Drosophila melanogaster: one gene and its partner. The gene in region 2 interacts genetically with the main gene of each other region. Each region holds a gene or a part of one and is shown on either strand. Other genes may lie near its edges.

Region 1 (5,210 bases), 9.2 Mb from region 2:
AATGCATAGCAAATTACTGGAAATTCCACAGCAGGCTGGTCGTTTATCATATATTGCACTGCACTTTGGTTAAGGCAAATAATTACATTTTCGGATAGAGAACTCTTAGGTTGTGTAACCGGGCTTTTTGGGCTAATTGCGATGGGCCAACGAAAACTGCGTGTGACAGGCCAACGGTTGCAGGGCATTTTGCTATCGCACTCAATTAATTAACATCGTTTGACTTATTGACACATGGGCCACGACAACTTGCCTCCTCCTTGCGGCTTCGCAGTCGTAAGCTTTGACGGCTGATAAAATGTATGTAATTAAAATGAACACAATTGGAGGGGCCAGTGCTAATTAAATCATTTGATCTAAGTACTCGTGCATGTTGGTTTTTCTCCATTTTCCTAAGTACATATGTATGTATATGACTTGGCGAATGACTTGTCACGGGGCTTTCGTTTGACACATGGCGTATGCGCAACATTGGGCCACATAATTCAACTTTCGCATGATTTACCCCCATCAAAATCGAAGAATTCAGCACCGCGAGGCGATGGTCTATGAGTGTTTATGTGATAATTGGCTTTAAATGGCTGCTAATTATTTTATAACTGCTGGGTGTTAGCGCGCTCCGTAAATGTTTGCACAGACCTCATAAATTTAAGCAACGCTAATCTGTTAAGTCAACTGAAATTAAATTTCGATCGAATCGTCTATTAATAGCCAGTTCAAACTTGATTGCCACTTGAAAATGATATGGAAAGGGGTGCATAGATACACGATTTCCAAGCTAATTGCATTGCTATCGCCGACTCCTTGAAAATTAATTACTTCTTTATTGGTAAAGAATTGCTATTTTGCTTATAATGGTTTTTAAACCAAAATTGTGTGCGTTGCTGTATGACACAACTTTTTAAACTTTCGAGAGGATTCTAGAGCACTTTTATGTTTATATGTAGATATTTTTGAAAATAACTTTTTCAAATGGCGCTTGCCTTGCACCACAAAATCAATAAAATGGGCCAATGGTTTTTGTGATACGGAGCCAAGGGCCCGCAGAGTTACATTTGCCCACTTGGCGGTTTTGTCGGCCGAATTCCCAGATATTTGTTTACGTTCGTCGGTATCCGGAGTCGCCCCTTATCTCTGATAAAAACATTCGAAACGGTAGATAGCGAGCTCCCAATTATTGGAGGCACTCGATATGACTGGGCTCTCGCCGGCTAATGAAAACCTATGGGGCACAGTTGGTGTTCATTGCGTCCAAATATTTGCATTGCATGCACTTGACCAAGAAACCGGTTCTGATTGCTGCCTGCCTCTTGGGAAACCCCCAATTGTCAGCGGGTTCCTTGGCAAAATATTTGCGCCCCTTCATCGCCAGCTAAGCGAAGCTGTGGAAAAAGTCATATCTGTCACTTGTGTTTGCCAGCAGCTGGTAAATATTTGAAATAAGTCGTCGCGGAAAAACAACTGTCATGTTTGAAAAATTACTTTTTGAGTTTTTCGTTCAATAGGCACTTTTCTCTTCTCCATGTTGAGATTCGAAAGTGATTCATGGCACTTTAATGTTTCTTGGTTATTTAGAAGTATAAAAAACCTTTAAAATTATGAAAAGTGGAAATTAAAAAATAAATATATAAGCACCTTAACGGAAAGTATAAGATTTTGTGTGCAACCCTCCTAAAAGTGTACTAAATTTTTTTTCTAACGGTGATTAACTTGAATTTTCACCGGTTGCAGCGTATCGAACAACTTGCTGGCCTGAGTCATCTTTCAACTCATTCAGATGGCATGCAGTTTCGGATACGGATGTTTCTAACATTCGTAAGGGTGCAAAAGCCACCACCAAGGTAACCCCAAGCCAGCTATCTGATTCACACAGAAACCAAGCCATGGCCATGGAAGCCAAACTCACTCAACACAACTTCAGTTGCGTGCGTGTGTGAAATGGAATTTTTATGCCGCACATTTGGGCAACTTGGGTTCGTTCGATCTCCCTAAATATATATTTGTATGTGTATATATACCCTATATACTATATAGCTCGTTATGCTGTCGGTTGGTTTGGTGCCTCTCGAGGCACATTTGTTTGTTCGCCGCATTCGAGCGAACGACGAAGCGAATTCGCCGCAATCGCTTCTGATATTTTGTGGCGATCGCCACCCGAGTTTGCCTCAGTCAGTCGTCGACTCTCTGAACGTGCGTTTGGATAGCTATTGCCATAGCTCCTCATCGGAATCGGAATAGGAATCGGAATCGTTTGTCGGATCAGCTGCCACGTTTTGAACTCGAAGTAAGAACAGGCAACGATCGTTTATTTTCGGTGCTGGATGTTTATTTTCGAAAACGCGCCCCTTTTAGAGGCCAGTGTTGAAGTGTTCAAGTATCTGCAAGATACCACAAGTACCTGAAAGATTAAAGCGTGTAAAAGTATCTGCAATATGCAATAGAATCTGAACGTTTGAGTATCTGCAAAGCTGAAACATATTCCAATATTTCCAAAAGATACAAAAGTATCCAAGTATCTGTCAGATACAAAGCAGAGCTTTGTACCGCATCTGCTGGCCCGCAGAGTGAACCCATCGTAGACTGCTGCTCATCCTACTGGAACACAATTAACTGGCTCGAATGAGCGTTTTGCAGTGCAAGAAAGCGAAACATCGTCTAAATTTCATATTGTGTATGCAATAAGCCTTCGCCCATCCGAAGAAGTGTGTGTGTAAAAGCCAATCAAGTGCCCTTCTGAACAAACCAAATTTGTTGTTGTTTCGGTGCAAAAGTGCTTTTGGGGAATTTGAAGTGGGTGGCTTGTGGCTAGCATTTGGATATCAGCCGTATCTCAAGTACTCCCCAGTTCGTGCTCATGGATTGCAAGCTCAAGGCAGCGTAGATAATAAAATAATTATTTGTCATACACATAAGTGAGCTTAGTTTTCGCATTCCCACACTTCGTTTTCGTATCGCACTCTTGCGGGTAAATATATGTGGTATTTACCAAAGTAAACTACATCGTGTGCGTGTTGCAGTGAGAAGTGCATTTATTGCTGCAAATTCGTAGTTCAAAGAAAAAACTTATAAATTACCTGCCAGCCAGTTGGATATTAATTTAGTGCGTTTCGGTGAGTTCGCAAAGCGGCAAATTGTATTTCATACATTTCCCTAGAATTTGACTGCGGCTTTTTTGGCCAGCTGTGTTGGCTTTGTATATACAAATTTACATAAATATGTACTTATGCACGAGTGAGCGAAGCTGGATATCTTTTGACCAGCGGCGGTGAATTTCATTTCAATAGGCTACTTTTTAAACTCTCGACTTAAAAATATCTCAGATATGCTTTCCAAGTATCCATGTTTTCAGCCTTTTTGCGAGCGATTGCCATGCACTTGAACTTGAAAGCCAGTTTACCAGTTTTTCCGGGTCCGGTCTCGTCTATCTTTGGCAAGTGCTCTCCAGTTCATCTCCAATTATCTTTGCCACTAAATGGGGTAATAAATTCACCGGTGCATTTATCTGTCTTCTTGAAATTCTATGACGACAATGTGGAAGACGCTCCACTAGAATCATTCAGTGTTCAGGATTGCGGTCAGTTGTCATTTGCTGCTGTGCACTCGCATATCTGGTTGCATATATATAGTTGCTCTTATGGTTTTGACACTAGCATATGCTATTTAAGAACTAAGAGTCAGTTTATATCTAAAAACTACACAAGAGGAATCTTATTTCTTTGATTTATAAATTTCTAATAATACTTTTCCTCTTAAAATTGCTAAAAAATGATTCTTGTAAATCATTTTCCATATTATTTCCATGTCGCTACTGATATATTAATAATGTCCAATTCATTTATAAATTCATATTTAAAGTAGTTAAATATTTATTTGAGTTTCACCACTTTGTGTTTGTGAAGCGCCATATAAAATTCCACACCATTAAACTTAAAGTGCTTGTAAAAAATGTTCATAATTTCATTACCTTTCAAGTGGCTTTTCATATACATTTTAATTCAAAAAAGAAATTCAATTATAATTGCTCTAAAAACTGCATGTTGGAGTGAGAGTGAGCACCACTCCAATGGTTTACGATTATAAACGCCCAATAGTAATCAAGCAAAAAAAAAATCCCTCAAAGAAATTAAATTCTTTTTAATTTAAATAACAATGAAATATAGGTTATTTAAAAAACTCATAAATTAAATTTATTTTAAAGCCTTAGGTAAGGTAAATACTTCGAAGTTTGATACCTGGAAATTTAAATTTTTGAATATTTAATAGTTAATCAAAATGAAAAGACCATGAAATTCAATTTTTTCGTGGACAAATAGAATACAGATCTATTAGAGTGTTTTTCAAAATATAATATTATTTTGTACTCAAATGTTGCATTACTTTTGAAGCTACTTAAGGTAAAAAGAACCCTGTAGAAACTAAATGCAGCTGCATATAATGGGCTTCCATTGCGCCTGGCAACAGAAACCCAGATCCTGGGGTTGCGCTCATTCCACCCCGAAAGACCGATCATCGATCGACATTCTTTATGGGGTAGCATTTGAAGGTCGTGGCCCATCTTCGAGTATACCAACTTAGAAAATGAACTGAATGCCATGGAGCTCAGCTGGTTTGAGCTGTCGCAGCGCATATGTGAACCGAGCACATGCCTCGATTAACTTGTCCATTTGCCAAACCATTGACACACAGACCGGCTAATGGAAATGCAACTCAAATTGTCACTGCTCCCCTTAATGATTCTCGACCGACTTTTGAGGCTGACTGGGGTGGAGCGGCTGGGGGTCGTCGGATTTGCGGCTCAACTGGCGCCAAAGCCGCCTGATCCCCAAGCTTTGCCTGTCAGCCATGGACAATAGGCACTCGGCTCCAGCACGTTGCCGCACCCAGGGGCAAAAAGTCCGGAGAAAGTCAGCCAGACTGACTGACAGATAGACGGACAACGAACCGGAGATCACAACAGAACGCAACGCACTGGCGAACAAATAAACTAATAAATCATTGACCTTGCGAACCTTGACAAAGGCGGTCGACCAGAAAGTGCACGGCATCCATTTGGTGAATAGACTGACGCGAGGCACTCAAAAGAATGGAATATATATCAGGGAAATAAAAAAAAAATATTTTAAAATTTGTGTAGAAAACAATAGAAAAATGAGGCACTTGTTCTATTGCCACTTTGGGTTATCTTCTTAAATAAGAACTCTTGCCTCTAG
Region 2 (4,888 bases):
TTCCGCAGTGGTTCGCGGCAGTTACCAGGCAGGTCAGGATGTCTTCGTTGTCAAGTCCGACGGCAACAAAGCCGTTAAGCATGTGGTCTCTACTCCCATGGCGGTCCAGACCACCACTCAATCGCCGTCGAAGAGCCAGCACCTCGCCAAGACCCACAAGAGCTTTACCCCGGAGCCTCTGCGATTCGAGTTCACCGAGCAAGATGCCATAAGGGGATCGATGAAGTACACCCAAGCCCCGCAAGCCAATCAGTACTACTACGAAACCGTGGCCCAAGCTCCCCGCGAGCCCGCGAAATCTCCTGCCCCGAAGATTGAACTCAGCAAGCCCATTAAGGAATACACCGATGACCCAGAGGATAGTTCCGACACTGAAAGTGGAAAGCAGGTTGGTTCTGTTTCTCAATAAATGTGAAAACCGCAAGTAGCTTATATAAGCTAGCATATTTGTTGGCCAAAAAGTGGCCACAAAAACAAGCACTTCCAACCTTTAAGGCATTTTATAATGATTTTTACGCGATTTAGTGAGTACTTAATTTCGATCAAATCGTTTACGGGTTTAAAATAGTACTCTTCTTTGAAAAAATAAACTTAAAAAAATAGTTGATTCTATCAACTCAAGCTACAAAAATTATACGACTCATCAAATACCAGTAACAGTTTTTCCTAATAAGATCAAATTCTTTTTGCTGTGAATTTAGCTCTTACATTTTTAATTTTAAATTTGCCCATTTCAGCAAGATATTCCAAAGGTGCCCACTGTGACGAGTTCAGCTACTCCTGACGATCCAAAGGACACGGAAAACTACTGCGAGAAGATATGTGCTAATGTGTACGATGAAAACGATGAAATAATCTGTGGATCCGACGGATACATGTACACGGGCGAAACCCAACTGCAGTGCTATTCGTCATGCCTCAATATAAGTAAGAGTTTCATACCCAATATATGTATTGTCTGTATATATTTTAAACCAACATGTTCTATTCCAGGTGTGACGATTAAGAGTAAAGGATCTTGCTCTTAAACTAAAATAAAATAAAAAACTGTTTTAATTTAATTTATTCTAGCGATTACAAAATATGCAAATTTAGTGGAAATGGTAAAATGTAGGGTTTTGTAAAAAGTGATTTTGATTTGTTGTTCACGTATAAAAATATCGTGCACTTATAGCTTTCCTATTCATTAAAGTGATAACTTATAAACTATTAGTGCATGTATATTTAAGTTCTACAATATATTTGTATGTATCTCAAAAATCATTCAGAGAAGTTAGTTATAATAAATAAATTAACGAATTGCAAGAAAACATTATCGAAAATCATATTTATATATATAAAATAAGAGACTATCTGGGCTTTTTGCCTTAGGGGCAAAACAAAAGAGACAGGAGCATCTTCTTGCTGAATAAGGGAAACCTGTATAAGGGTTTGGAATTTATTAAGACTTTGTTAGGTGTGGTTTTTACAGCTGTAATCTGTTTGTAATCTGTTTCATTATGGCAGGCAAAATGAAATTTAAAAAAGTGGCTTAATGCTTAAAGGTTATACAGTATTCTTAACAATGTTATAACTCGTTCGAAGAGTAACGGTCTACTGTTCAAGTTAACAGAGGCCAGGTAACATCTCTGCTAATGCGTAACATATATATTAGGCAAGCTGGTAGCTTGGGTGGCATCACCGCCGATAACACTTGTGTAACAATATGCGCTATCGATAGATCACGAACACAAGTAAACCCAGTTGCTTTGTAAAATTTTTTGTGAAAGTAAAGGGAACTTCTGGCGAAATAACTTCAATTTTCCGCTGACTCTCGCACGCGTTCAATCCAATTGACCCCCCTTGTGGAGGTGACACTATCTCCCGAAAGACTTACCAATCCCCCGTGCCGTAATATGAAAGCTTGCTAGCTCGAATTGCCTTTGAACACCACAATCACAAATTGAAATCCTCGATGCGAACGATCCGACAGTCGCAGTGCGAGCCCTAGACCCCGTCCCGGTCGTAAATCCCCAACTCGAGCACGATCCCGTCGAGCGAAGGACTTCCGGAAGGAGCGGCGTGGAAACATGACATCATAGTCGCTGCATATGCTTCCTGTCCCGAATCAAATGTACATAAATATGTATGTATAGCCAGCGTACCGCACATACGCACATATCCCTCGCGACAGAACAGAACAGAGTAGAGTGGAACGGCAGAGCCAGTGACGAACGTAGTGCAATCGAAACTAGTGATTCATGGAAAGCGCACACCTCGGCCTCCTGGAGACGGCGCCACTACCTCCTCCACCCAGCTGTAAGCGATATTTCAGACGTCGGCACCAAGCAACGAACATAAGTGGGTGTGGGAATGGTCACCTTTCCCTGCTCCTGCCCCTGCCCATGTCTCTGCCCCAGTCCAAGCCAGTTCCTCCTGTCAATAGTGCCGGAATTTAACCTTTGCTCCATTCCTCCATGCCTTCATGTACTCATTCACCGCCTTGCCTCTCGCTTCAGATTAAACGTGGTGGTCTGCTGCTAAAAATCTTGCAAAATTGGACAAACCCTCTGCGACTTCGTACGACAACAAGAGGTCGTACCTGCGAACCGTGCTCGGAAGGGAAGCGCCATCAGCGAAGATGGTACTACCTCCTGCACCACGCAACCTCAAAGGTGAGTTGGAGTCATTGCCAAAACATTTAGGGAATATCTCTATTTATTTAAATATTGTTTTTATTTAAATCAGGGCACATAACAAAAAATGATTGAAGTAACAATCGTTGTTTCATATATGCCTAAATAACGTAAAAGCTGGTTTAAAATATCCTTGTATGTAGTGTGTTAAACTGACCAAGTATCCTACAAAGGATTTGTTTCCCTAGGATACTAATTTTTAAATATGCTTCAACTGGAATTGTTACTTCAACGTCTCTGTTTTAAGCAAAACTTACTAGATAAACAACACGTAAACTGAAACCGTTTTTTCGTTTATCGAATGTTTATAAAATGTTCTTGGAAGGAAGTTTACTGAGAACTGTGGAAAACTCGACTGTTGTACCTGTGAGTCTATAGAATCTAATCAACTACTTCTATCATTCTTTTAGGAATACCTCAATTTCTAGCGAGGAGCAAACTGTGCAGGGAGCTAATATACAAAAGTCGGGACACCGTTCGTTTAATAGATCTGCCTCCTCTAGGCAAAAGCCGAACCCGACATCAAAACTAAAAGACACACTAAACAGAAAGCCCACTTGCAAGCAGGGCACACTTTCTGCACACACGAGCACTAGCAGCACCACTTCAATCCAGTCATCACCTATCGAGCCAGCTTCTTCTCTACCCACGCTGAACACCACGCCTACACCACCAGCTGCCAGCAAAAGTAACCTATTTGTGCGGGTGCTAAGACGCTTTTCAAATAACACCCTTCCCGGCAAAACGGCGTCAAGCCCGAAAAACGTGGACGACGTACCGAAAGTCAACGATAACAACAACGGCGATTTAGGCAAACAGCAATCAACCGATGTAGAGGTGCTTTGCTCTCAGGACAACCAGAGCAGGGAACAGAATGAGGACGAAATGGATAGCAAAATAGAACCTGCAGATGCCATAAGCAACCAGAAAGCTGGTCTTACTTCGGGCAAACCTAAAAAAGACAAGTCAGTCAAGGGGACGTCGCAAGCGGTTGTTTCAGACACCAAGAAAATGGAGGCCAGAAAGTCCTCCTCGGACACGGTGATCGAGCCATTGATCAAGCAGCAGGCGCCACTGCACTCGTCAAAGACCACGCCAACGACTTTGACGGCGAACTTCGTGCAAAACATTCGATTCGTCCGTAAAAATGTGGAACAGTCAGGCAGGAACACCAATCCACTGCAGTTCGTTGAACTCGAGACAGAGTTTCCTCGTGACTATGACGACAACATCGAGATGCTTTCCCGCGAGGCGGAGCATCTGGAGGAGCAGTTCCGCACGCCTACGCGCTCCAATGCTACGGATGCCACTTCCCACCATGTGGCCGGAATCATCGACAACATTATAACCGAAGCGTCACGGAGTCTTACAATCGAAAAGACTGAAGACGATGTGCCATTGAAGTCTTCTACCAAGCACTCAAGCGGCGTAAAACGAGTTGGCTTTCAAGTAGAGGATAAGGACGATACCGAAGTTCAGAGCGAAAAGCAGGCAAAGAGCTTCGACGACATAACCAAAAAAGCGGAGAGCTCCGAGGCTAGCGCAGAGGAAGCTGCTGTCACCGGGTCCTCGACAGATGCATCTGCATCTCCCCTGCCCTCCACGTCGCTGGTCTCCACCACATCTTCAGCTACATCGATAACCAAGAGTAAGAGCGATGAGGACGATGATCCGGTGGCCATGTCGCCGTGCGGACGATTCTTTAAGTACGATAAGGAAGTCGGACGCGGTTCCTTTAAAACTGTCTATCGTGGCCTGGACACGTTGACTGGTGTTCCAGTTGCCTGGTGCGAGTTATTGGTAAGATAAAAAACTTCTTAAGTTTATTGTTGTGCCATTGGGCATATGTATAAGTATTATTATTATTAGTCAAAGCAAACATGATCACAAGCTTGCATAAGCAAGTTATCAGATAGATAATAATTATCATGAATTTTTGATTGAGTAATCTTTTTTATATAATGGATCATCACAATTAAAGTAATCATTAGGTAACATGAAAATGTACAATTTTATTTACCTATTTTACAGGACAAGCAAGTAAAAAAAAGTGAACGTACTAGATTTCGCGAGGAGGCAGACATGCTGAAGAAACTTCAGCACCCAAACATAGTGCGGTTTTATACATATTGGGAGTTTCCTATTGGCCGCAAGAAGAATATTGTACTAGTCACCGAACTAATGTTATCTGGAACTTTGAAATCGTAAGCGTA

The links. A genetic interaction does not mean that the proteins touch.
Region 1: of Wnk (region 2) and Ncc69, changing one suppresses a phenotype caused by changing the other (phenotypic suppression), as found in Drosophila melanogaster (one study listed by BioGRID).

Annotation. Positions count from the first base shown.
Region 1 is NT_037436.4:12,388,397-12,393,606, reverse strand, and holds the start of Ncc69 (sodium chloride cotransporter 69), read left to right. Parts: upstream 1-2,162; 5' UTR 2,163-2,284; exon of another isoform or gene 2,285-3,110; intron 3,111-5,210.
Region 2 is NT_037436.4:21,551,791-21,556,678, reverse strand, and holds the start of Wnk (Wnk kinase), read left to right. Parts: upstream 1-1,750; 5' UTR 1,751-2,125; exon of another isoform or gene 2,126-2,298; intron 2,299-2,498; 5' UTR 2,499-2,535; coding exon of another isoform or gene 2,536-2,654; intron 2,655-3,085; coding exon of another isoform or gene 3,086-3,560; coding exon 3,561-4,475; intron 4,476-4,706; coding exon 4,707-4,879; intron 4,880-4,888. Other genes in the region: CG7173 (uncharacterized protein), read left to right, coding at 1-388, 738-927, 994-1,028. UniProt on the Drosophila melanogaster protein: Serine/threonine-protein kinase component of the WNK-SPAK/OSR1 kinase cascade, which plays an important role in the regulation of electrolyte homeostasis and regulatory volume increase in response to hyperosmotic stress.